Xenopus tropicalis: one gene and its partners. The protein of the gene in region 1 binds, or shares a complex with, the protein of each later gene. Links are inferred from orthologs where the notes say so. Each region holds a gene or a part of one and is shown on either strand. Other genes may lie near its edges. The genes, in order: brd8, mbtd1 and anp32e.

Region 1 (3,654 bases):
CATTTTTACAAATTGATCATTTGTAACCCTTTCCTGCCCTATCTATAGTAAAGACTCTTGCACACAGGTGTTTTGCTTGTATGTGCCCGAATGAGTACAGCCGCATAGCTGGCTATTAAAGGAAAACTATATGAAAACTAAATATGAAAACTAAATGAATACTTTACCAACAGATTTATCCTTTATTCAGTATTTGCTCAGACAGACCCACCATATTGAACTGGGCATAGGCTAAGGGATAGATACTGGAAGGGGCGGTATTTAAAGAAATGAATACTTAACCAGTAGATAGTTTATTGGAACATATATATATATATATATATATATATATATATATATATATATATATATATATATATATATATATATATATATATATATATATATATATATATATATATATATATATATATATATATATATATATATACAGTGGAGGAAATAATTATTTGACCCCTCACTGATTTTGTAAGTTTGTCCAATGACAAAGAAATGAAAAGTCTCAGAACAGTATCATTTCAATGGTAGGTTTATTTTAACAGTGGCAGATAGCACATCAAAAGGAAAATCGAAAAAATAACTTTAAATAAAAGATAGCAACTGATTTGCATTTCATTGAGTGAAATAAGTTTTTGAACCCCTACCAACCATTAAGAGTTCTGGCTCCCACAGAGTGGTTAGACACTTCTACTCAATTAGTCAACCTCATTAAGGACACCTGTCTTAACTAGTCACCTGTATAAAAGACACCTGTCCACAGAATCAATCAATCAAGCAGACTCCAAACTCACCAACATGGGAAAGACCAAAGAGCTGTCCAAGGATGTCAGAGACAAAATTGTAGACCTGCACAAGGCTGGAATGGGCTACAAAACCATTAGCAAGAAGCTGGGAGAGAAGGTGACAACTGTTGGTGCGACTGTTCGAAAACGGAAGGAGCACAAAATGACCATCAATCGACCTCGCTCTGGGGCTCCACGCAAGATCTCACCTCGTGGGGTGTCAATGATTCTGAGAAAGGTGAAAAAGCATCCTAGAACTACACGGGAGGAGTTAGTTAATGACCTCAAATTAGCAGGGACCACAGTCACCAAGAAAACCATTGGAAACACATTACACCGCAATGGATTAAAATCCTGCAGGGCTCGCAAGGTCCCCCTGCTCAAGAAGGCACATGTGCAGGCCCGTCTGAAGTTTGCCAATGAACACCTGAATGATTCTGTGAGTGACTGGGAGAAGGTGCTGTGGTCTGATGAGACCAAAATAGAGCTCTTTGGCATTAACTCAACTCGCTGTGTTTGGAGGAAGAAAAATGCTGCCTATGACCCCCAAAACACCGTCCCCACCATCAAGCATGGGGGTGGAAACATTTTGCTTTGGGGGTGTTTTTCTGCTAAGGGCACAGGACAACTTATTCGCATTAACGGGAAAATGGACGGAGCCATGTATCGTGAAATCCTGAACGACAACCTCCTTCCCTCTGCCAGGAAACTGAAAATGGGTCGTGGATGGGTGTTCCAGCACGACAATGACCCAAAACATACAGCAAAGGCAACAAAGGAGTGGCTCAAGAAGAAGCACATTAAGGTCATGGAGTGGCCTAGTCAGTCTCCGGACCTTAATCCAATAGAAAACCTATGGAGGGAGCTCAAGCTCAGAGTTGCACAGAGACAGCCTCGAAACCTTAGGGATTTAGAGATGATCTGCAAAGAGGAGTGGACCAACATTCCTCCTAAAATGTGCGCAAACTTGGTCATCAATTACAAGAAACGTTTGACCTCTGTGCTTGCAAACAAGGGTTTTTCCACTAAGTATTAAGTCTTTTTTTGTTAGAGGGTTCAAAAACTTATTTCACTCAATGAAATGCAAATCAGTTGCTATCTTTTATTTAAAGTTATTTTTTCGATTTTCCTTTTGATGTGCTATCTGCCACTGTTAAAATAAACCTACAATTGAAATGATACTGTTCTGAGACTTTTCATTTCTTTGTCATTGGACAAACTTACAAAATCAGTGAGGGGTCAAATAATTATTTCCTCCACTGTATATATATATATATAAATATCAAAACAAAGCAGCCAGCACCAAGGGTCTTTGTGTTTCAAAAAGTCTCTTGTGTGTTATAATTGCATGTACAACCAACGTTTCGGTCCCTTTTGGGACCTTTTTGAATATATATGTATATATATGTATGTATATGTGTGTGTAAATATTGTCCTTTTACATCCTTTACCTTAAGACACCATTTTGTGATGGGCTGTGTGCTCCCTCAGAGATCACATGACAAGAAATAATGCAGCTCTAACTGTAACAGGAAGTAATGTGAAAGCAAAAGGCAGAACTCTGTCCATTCCATTGGCTGATGGGGCCTAGCATGTATATGTGCCTTGGCTTGTTTGTGTGCACTGTTGAATCCTATGATCCCAGGGGGCGGCCCTTAATTCTTAAATGGCAATTTTCTATTTAGGATTACCCAATAGCACATACTATTTAAAAAGTATATTTTTATGAAAATGGTTTATTTAGATGACCCAGGGTTTTACATATGAGCTTGTTTATGCAATATATTTTTATAGAGACCTACATTGTTTGGGGTATAGTTTTCCTTTAAGCCCTGTAAGACCAATGCCTTAATGTGCTATGGTATAACTTTGTAACTAAAAAAACCTCTGTTTTTGAAAGTATCTGCACTTGCACAGTTACAGTTGCTACTGAAAGAGGGAACCAGGGAATGTTCATTGATCTAATTAACATTAACTTGTTTTAATAATTAGTTGCCATGTTTATGACAGAGGTTTTTTACACAGTAGACTTTTTAAATAAAATTTTTCGACTTCCCATTGAATCGTGGCATTTTAGTAGGTCAGAGCTATGTGATATCATTTTTAAATTTTGTTTGATATAATGTTTAAAAAAAATTAACTCAAAAAGTTCAAAGCTTTTAATGAATTTGCAGATGTGGCTGCCTGCAGTCATTAATAAATCAGCCCCTGAGATAAATATGTTGGTGAGCCCTTTTCTATAGGAGTTTGTTTTTCCTGTGTTCATATATTCATTACAGTATGTGTGTATAAACTGTTGCACGATTGATCCTTATTATAAAATGTTATCAAGGACCAGCACTCTTTTCCAAGTGGTTTACACAATTTATTTACAATACATGTGATGGTTCATGCCACATTATCCTTGATAAAGGCCCTAATGGGGCCGCATTTGATATATCAAGTCTTTCAAGCTCTAGAAAAGTGAAACTAGTGATTTTGAAAGTGCTGCATTCAGAGAACATATTTATTATTAATTGACCAATTCACCCTTTTTTTTTTTTTTACATAGTGACTCAGCAAGACAGCAATGACTCTGCTTCAGATCCTCACTCCATCTCAGTATCTATGGACAGCAGTGACATCTCCATGATAATAGACTCAATCAACAAAGAGTGCTTGGCAAGTAGCGATGGGGTTAGACAGTCCAAAGATGAGACCTCAGAAGGCAAGGCAGATCTGGACCTTTCTGAGAAAATGGACATGGAAGAACTTGACTTTGAAACTGTTGGTGACATAATTGCCATTATTGAAGACAAGGTATGAATATGGCATAATGTCTGATACTAACTATAGTTATATTTAAGATACACCTGGCAGTACACAAGTCTTT
Region 2 (3,654 bases), on another chromosome or scaffold:
TCGTCCGAGGGTGATGGAGCTCTGCGTTTGGAGGGCTTAACCCTGGGATTGTCCAGCCGTGTGAGGAGTTTGTCCAGTGAGAAAGCCAGTAAGGGGATGCCTGTAGCAAGTTGAGAGGCCCATGCAGGGATGGTTTGTGCTTCTGTCTGAAGCGGTTCCGCAGGTGTAGAGGATTCTTCCTGACATGGTTGGTTCACTGGAGGGGGAGCAGGTCGTGAGAGTTCCGGATCTTGCTTCCGCGGCTTGCAAGAGGCACATATAGTGTCTTTGTGACCCACAGGTAGAGGTTTGCGACATTTGGCAAAGGCTAAAAAATTTTATCTGCGCTAAAGACATGATGAGGAGCTGCGGAGTGAACACACGCAGTGCTATGAGAAACCCCCCCCCCCTTTTTTTTTTGGTGAATGTATGCAGACTGCGCTACACAACTGACCTGCGATGGAGGAGCAGGAGGTTGGAGCGATGGGGAGAGGGGGAGGCCCCCAGGAGAGTGCCTGCTGTAGTGGCAGCAGCTAACCCCACTGTTTAGGTGACCAGGGTGCCTCTGCGACGGCTGTGGGAGCTGTGCGGGGGACACAGAGTAGAACCTCTGCAGGGCAGGAGCTGTTGTGAGGCAGCCCGACAGCGATCTAACCGAAGGGCCAGATATCTGGAGAAGCGTTCCGGAGGTAAGACGCGCTTGTCAGAAGTGGTGCGAGAGGGACCGCACTTCCGGGTTGCGGCTGAATGGAGGGGGCGCGAACTGGTAAGAGCGCGAAAAGGAAGCGCCCAAATTTAAAATGGCGGTGTCCCGAATAGTGCGCTCCGCATCACCATGCGATGCGGGGCGTAATGGTGGAAGAGTTCCTCAGCGGAGACTTAATGCAATGCCACGTTGGAGGGTGTCAGAGGGAGACCTCCTACTCAGTGTAGGGGTCTTGACTACCCCCTAAGTCAGAATAACAGACTTGTTAATGTTGAAAGATTCTGAAAATAATAAAACGTCCTAACCTCCTGAGGACACAACAAAAACTGATCCAGGCTCCACCTGCTGGGGGTATAGCCAGTAGAGGAGGAGCCAAAACGTTATTAGTTGTTGTGTCCTGCCTCCTAGTGGTACCAGTGGTACCCCTCTGTTCCTGTGTCCCCCAAGCAGACGGTGGAGAAAATACGATTATGTCTGGAGAATGGCTTTATGAGTGGTAATCACCATTGTTATATAAAGGACAGGTCAAGTCAGAGTAAGAAGTAGAATAGTGTGGTTGCAGTATATGTAATCTATTTGGATTTTGCCAAACTATTTAATTCAGTGACATAGCTACAGTGAGAGGTTTAAAGTTGTGGAATTTTCTCCCAGAAAAAGTTACATTGGCAGATCCATTAGTTAGCTTCAAGACTTACACTTTAAGAATTTGGATGTCTTTATAGCAAGTGTGAAAATACAGGGCTACTGATATTAGCTCTTAGAAAAAAATTGATCCAGGGACTGGTCTGATTGCCATCTTGGCCTCAGATAGGGGAAAAATCCCTCCTGATTCCAACTGGAGAGGCTTCAGGTGGTGGTTTCACATTCCTCTACAACCAGCAATCAGACAGGTTTTTTTTAGACAAAAATGCTGAACTTGGACATGTGTCCTTTTTTCTGCCTAAATTATATTTTTTTAAATTAGCAGAAAATTAACACTACTGATAAATAAACTAGGTTATTTGTAGCCGGTTTGACTTACATTGTGGTGCTGGAGGCTGTAACTGGTATCCAGTTAGTTGGCACCAACCAACAGGATAGAGGTCTGAAGATTCACAGTCTACCCACTGATCATACTCATCTTCCCAGCCATCAAAATGTATCCTCAGCAGGCGATGAATAATACGTGTCACTGTAGCAACACACACAAGCCGAGGTTCCATAAGGTCTACAGCCTCAAGTTTCATACCAACACGAAACCCATGATTAGGAACTTCCTGGAAGTTGAAATACAAGTAAAAACCAGGGCACATTAAATACAGAAACCAGAGCCATCTGCAGCATGCATCCCAATGATCTATTTTTAATGCATCCCAATTATCTATCTATTTTAATGTGGAGCTGGCATTTTTAAGTTTTATTTTTTTTGCAATTAATATAATTTCATTTCATTGTAATTGTGGCAACAACATTATTGCTCATGGAGTGTCAAAACTGAGGCAACTTGAATGAATCAGTTGCAAGTTTAAGAGAGGGGGTTGTCTCACTTTTGATGCACATGTTGGCATTTGTGTGTAATTCTTTTACCAGAGGTCTGCCCCCCCCCCTTTAACACGAACCTGGATACAGTCTGGAACAGCATTGCTCTTATTCTTTTAAAATAAAATGCCTTTATTGCACACTTTCATGGCATTACAGCAATGTTTCAATCCTTATGCGCCCATTTATCAAGCCCCCTATTAACACTATGTAATGACTGAAACGTTCAGGGAGGCATTAAATCCAATATTCCTCTGTACAGGAACAATTAGTTAGTTGATTTTTAAGATGAATCCTTAATAAGTTTTAGCTACAACTCCAGTTTAAATAGGAAGGTGGTGGTTATGGCAGTAACTCCTTGGCAGTCATCCTTTATACTGTCTTTATAAGAACCACTACCAAACAGAGATGTCAGCAAAGATTTAAAGGAAAGTGTTACCTGGACAGGTCTGTTACCACCCATTGTTAGTATGTACTTTTGTGCTCATGGTTGATTGAGTTTTGGCATATGTCGGGCTATTGGTAAATAAAGTATTACCTTGTTAAAGAGTTTTACAGGAGCTGCTATAGATCCAGTTTCCCTGAGGTAGTCAAACCATTTAAAAGGTAGTTTTGTGTAGCCTGCAAAACAAAATATTTATCAGTACATGTATCATGTACATTGACATTTCCAAATGTTGAGGCAGAAACCCAGACGTTGCCCTTTGCACTGTATTAAAAAATGTTTCCACCTGCATAGGCCATAGTCCTGTTATAAATAAATATTTATAAATCAAATAACAAATACAAATATAGTTTTATTATCCTTTGCATAAAACTGGCTAAAAGTGAAGATCCCATCTTTTCATGCCCAAAACACATTTGAGTATCTCAGTTGCATTGTATCCACACTTATTTAATCAGTTCCAACAACTAAGTTGCATTCTAAAACATGCAACACATACTTGCCTTTTTTTTTTTTTTTTTTTTTTTTTTTTAAATTCTGAAAAATCCATGTTTTTTGAGCTAACAGGGTAAACTAGGAAACTGAAGCTGAACAGCATTGATGTAGGGTCTTTTAAGTGCACTGCTAATCTAATTGTATACTCTGCAAAAACCAAGTCCGGAATAGCTACAACTTCTCTTAAAACAATAGGCAAAGTGTATTTTCATCACAAGCCCCACTCACTTTTTTTTTTTTTAAAAGAAAAAAAGAAAAAAAACCCAGGAAATTAGGATGCTTTCCTCTATAAGAAAAGCATGTGCTTCTTAAGCAACCTATCAAGTAATTTTTATACAAGAATAATTTTCTTCTTATACTGTTATCTATTTGTGAGAATCACACCAGAAGTCAAACACACAAACACTTACCTCTTGGTGGAGTTAGTTCTATTTTGTTAATTTCACAGAAACCAACAGGAAATATTGAAGGAGATGAGGCATGGTAGCAAAACCAGTCTGAACCATCTGCT
Region 3 (4,121 bases), on another chromosome or scaffold:
CCTGTCTTCTCCCAAAATCTTGCTCACTCCCCTCCCCAACATGAACTACCTATTTATAAAGCTGCAGAGATACGGAACCCTCTAGGTGTGCCATTAATTAAAGTGCATCCACCTGAAGTACACTGGAGTTTATGCCAAATGAATCTGCTGTAGCTAAAGTTTGCTGAACTGTGTGAGCAGGATACATTAAGGGCCAAGACACACAGAGCTATTTAGTAGCAGCTGCTTGTCACGGCTATTAAACGCCAGGAAATCCCCTGCCATAGACAATACTGATAATTTCCTCTGCTAAAAACACATGTAGACACAACTATCAGTAAATGATCAGCATTGTCTATTTTGTAGCCATGACAAGTAGCTGCTACTAGTAGCTCCATGTGTCTTCACCCTCAGGAGGAATCTAAAGTTTTTTTCACAGGCCCCAGAATTTGGCCCTGATGATATGGGACCTTAAATAACAGCAAGCACCATCTAAACTCCCGCCATGAACCCTCCTACACAGCAACCACAACAAGGCCCTCCTGGGGTAACTGTACCCACCCACAGATCCTTACCTGTGCTGCTCTGGCACCGACTCACAAACCCTGGCATTCTAGGCTACTGCTTCTCAACCTTATGAATTAAGATCCAAAAACAGGACAGATTTATCACAATCCTACTTATTGCAGGGCTATCATTGGGAAGGAGACAAATGACAACTTTGTTAGGGTGAAGACACACAGATACTAGTAGCAGCTACTTGTCACAGCTACTAAAATAGACAATGCTGATCATTTATTGATAAATGTCTCCACATGTGTTTTAGCAGAGGCAATTCCCAGTATTGTCTATGGCAGTGTATTTTCTAGAGTTAGAAAAAGCAGCTGCTACTAGTAGCTCAGTGTGTCTTCACCCTCAGAGAGCAGGCACTACGTTTAATGTGGGTTTATCTACAGAAGTTAACTAACTTTTAAATTAATGAAAAAAGTTCACTTCCTATAAGGGTGAAGAAACACCGAGCTACTAGTAGCAGCTACTTTTTCATGGCTACTAAACTCCAGAAAATCCCCTGCCATAGACAATACTGAGAATTGCCTCTGCTAAAACACATGTAGAGACAGTTAGCAGTAAATGATCAGCATTGTCTATGTTAGTAGCCACAACAAGTAGCTGCTACTAGTAGCTCCATGTGTCTTCACCCTAAAGTTACATTTATTTGCAGTTAAAAGCAGCGTTTCTTTAATTCCTTTCTGGTCTCGGTGTCTGACTCATGAAACAATGTAGCCGGAGTCCCTTCCCCTTCAGGTCTGCCCATCAGCTGGCTTCTGCTACATTATTTCAGAAAGGCAGAGAAAACAATGCAGCGGGACGGAGACGCCGCTTTCGGCAGCAATTACAATCCCCAAGTGACTGAGCGTCGGAATCTAGAGAGGAAAGTGGCAGGAATGGCCGGTATTATTGTTACACATGGCCGGAGCACATGGTTGGGTGGCACATACACCCCACTGCACTATCCTATAGGGCAAGCAGAACTACAGCAACCACACTGACATCAAGCAACAGAACCGCTCCCTGGCTCATACTAAGGTCCAATCAGGGCACATATTGCTCAAATGATGCTTAACTACAACTCCCAGCAATCCCCAACGTACAAGGGTTAAAGCATGCTGGGAGTTGTAGGAAAGTAACAAGTGGGGAGCCAAGAATAAGAAAGCCCCACATAGACCGTCAGTTGTTAAACCACACTGACATCAAGCAACAGAACCGCTCCCTGGCTCATACTAAGGTCCAATCAGGGCACATATTGCTCAAATGATGCTTAACTACAACTCCCAGCAATCCCCAACGTACAAGGGTTAAAGCATACTGGGAGTTGTAGGAAAGTAACAACTGGGGAGCCCAAGGCTAAACCCCCCCAGACCTTCAGTTGTTGAACTACAACTCCCAGCAATCCTCAACGTACAAGCAAGGGTTAAAGCATACTGGGAGTTGTAGGAAAGTAACAACTGGGGAGCCAAGCCCCCCCACAGACCATCAGTTGTTGAACTACAACTCCCACCAATCAACGTACAAGCAAGGGTTAAAGCATACTGGGAGTTGTAGGAAAGTAACAACTGGGGAGCCCAAGGCTAAAAGCCCCCCACAGACTGTCAGTTGTTGAACTACAACTCCCAGCAATCCTCAACGTACAAGCAAGGGTTAAAGCATACTGGGAGTTGTAGGAAAGTAACTGGGGAGCCAAGCCCCCCCCAGACCTTCAGTTGCTGAACTACAACTCCCAGAATGCTCTGCTGGTGCTGGCTGCAGACGAACTATAATGGCAGCCACCTGTAGCTGAAGGGAATAGTAGTTTCCTTAGCGTTACAAGCACCAGAGGCTGCTGGGAGTTGTAGTTCATGCACCTACAGTGTGCAGGTTATAAATGTGGCGCTAGTAAAGCAGTGAGCGCCCCCCTCCTACTCCTCAGGGGCACTGGGCCCTCTCCTGCCATGAGGTGGGGCCGGTCCCTCTCTCTCCCCTCCCTCCATCACCTTCTCATCCAAACTTTGCGAGTGCGGGACAGAAAAGAGACGAGCCCGGCGGGCTACGGAGCGAAAGGAGATCCCCCCCACTATAAAGACATATATATACCCATACGAGTTCCCCCCCTCCTGCCCATGCACGGTGGTACAACCCATAAGCCCCAAAGAATCCCACCTCGGAAGGATTCCTGTTCCTCAACTCCAAGCTGATGCGCTTCTTCATCTCCATTTTCCCGGGCCAATGTCTTGACGCCTCACGCACAAAGAAACTTTCACCAGAACGGCGGGAAAACAACCAAAAATCAAGAGAAAAATAAAGCGAAGGCTAAAACCAAAACAGAAGTGTCCGACGCGGGCTGTTTGACTCCCCTCTCCACAGGGCTTCCTACTCTCTCAATGGCCGCTCACTAACTGAGACTCCATTACACAGCACAGGCATCCCCTTCGCTAAGTTGACGCCCCTCCCACGCAACGATTGGCTGTCCGCTCAGGGATCGTGGCTATTATTGGTGGTCAATTATGTCAGTCAGGTTCTTCCAAATAGAACGCCGCACCATTGGCTGGAAGTATGAGCGCAGTAAATTCGGATTGGCTGCTGCTTTTGTCCATCTCGGGGGGGATGCGTTGGTTTTTTTTAATTTTTTTTTTTTTTTTTAATCTTTTAATGTCGTTTGACCCAGGCGTCGTGTCTTTGTGTATTCAGTGCTTTCGCGCCCTATTTTAGGTCAGGGAAGCGTTGTGTGAGGTGGGATATCTGCTAATGTAGGGGCTACTTCGCTTGCGATAAATCAATGTAATGGTAGAGTAGGCTGGAATACGCGCAAGGATACCTTAAATGTACGATAAAGAGAAACACGAACTAATTGTAGTCATTTGTTACCGCCAAAATGGCTAGAGGGAAGGCAAAGGAGCCTTTTAGGTTATTTGATCGTTTGTCCTGGGCCCGTCTGTGGCCATATTGGGTACATATGTCGGCATATTAAGTCTTATATAGATATGAAGACGTATTAGTGGGTCCAAAAATTATTTTAGAGCCCTGTATAAGCTTTGGAAATAAGCCATGTAAAGAAATATATATTTTGAAGCTGGGTGTCTGTTATTATACAGCCTTGTCCAACTAGTACTCCCAGGGTCCTAGTTATGGTGTTAAATTGAGCAAATACATAAAGACTTGGTTGGTGAGGTTGCTAACCAATCCGATTTGGCCATACACGGGCCTATAGTAGCTGCCGATATGGGTCCCTTAAGCAAAAAAGTGTCTGCACACTCAGAAAGTACAAAAGAAACAAATCTTTTATTAAATACAAAACAGAAAATACAGCCCAACGCGTTTCAACCCAATAAAGGGTCTTCATCAGGAGAAAAAAAAGTTAAAAAAGGGGCAGGATATGTGTCCCTAAAGGTGGCCACACACAGGCAGATCCGCTTGCTTGGCTTCATCCGATATCCCCACCTACGGGTGGGGCCAAACGATCGAATTCTGCACGCGGCCTGGGGCCAAACGATCGAATTCTGCACGCGGCAATGGGGCAGTCGGTTCTGGGACCGCATCAACGAGCCGATGCGGTCCCCGATCCGACGGGATTTTCTAACCTGGCCGACCGATATCTGGCCAATTTC

What was found.
Region 2: brd8 (region 1) and mbtd1 share a complex: the UniProt entries of both Homo sapiens proteins name them as parts of the nuA4 histone acetyltransferase complex. The link is inferred for Xenopus tropicalis from reciprocal best matches to the Homo sapiens genes BRD8 and MBTD1.
Region 3: brd8 (region 1) and anp32e share a complex: the UniProt entries of both Homo sapiens proteins name them as parts of the SWR1-like complex. The link is inferred for Xenopus tropicalis from reciprocal best matches to the Homo sapiens genes BRD8 and ANP32E.

Annotation. Positions count from the first base shown.
Region 1 is NC_030679.2:47,824,490-47,828,143, reverse strand, and holds part of brd8 (bromodomain-containing protein 8), read left to right. Parts: intron 1-3,333; coding exon 3,334-3,581; intron 3,582-3,654. UniProt on the Homo sapiens protein: May act as a coactivator during transcriptional activation by hormone-activated nuclear receptors (NR). Isoform 2 stimulates transcriptional activation by AR/DHTR, ESR1/NR3A1, RXRA/NR2B1 and THRB/ERBA2.
Region 2 is NC_030686.2:23,303,498-23,307,151, forward strand, and holds part of mbtd1 (MBT domain-containing protein 1), read right to left. Parts: coding exon 3,554-3,654; intron 2,825-3,553; coding exon 2,742-2,824; intron 1,942-2,741; coding exon 1,707-1,941; intron 1-1,706. UniProt on the Homo sapiens protein: Chromatin reader component of the NuA4 histone acetyltransferase complex, a multiprotein complex involved in transcriptional activation of select genes principally by acetylation of nucleosomal histones H4 and H2A.
Region 3 is NC_030684.2:129,186,498-129,190,618, forward strand, and holds the start of anp32e (acidic leucine-rich nuclear phosphoprotein 32 family member E), read right to left. Parts: upstream 2,898-4,121; 5' UTR 2,731-2,897; coding exon 2,677-2,730; intron 1-2,676. UniProt on the Homo sapiens protein: Histone chaperone that specifically mediates the genome-wide removal of histone H2A.Z/H2AZ1 from the nucleosome: removes H2A.Z/H2AZ1 from its normal sites of deposition, especially from enhancer and insulator regions.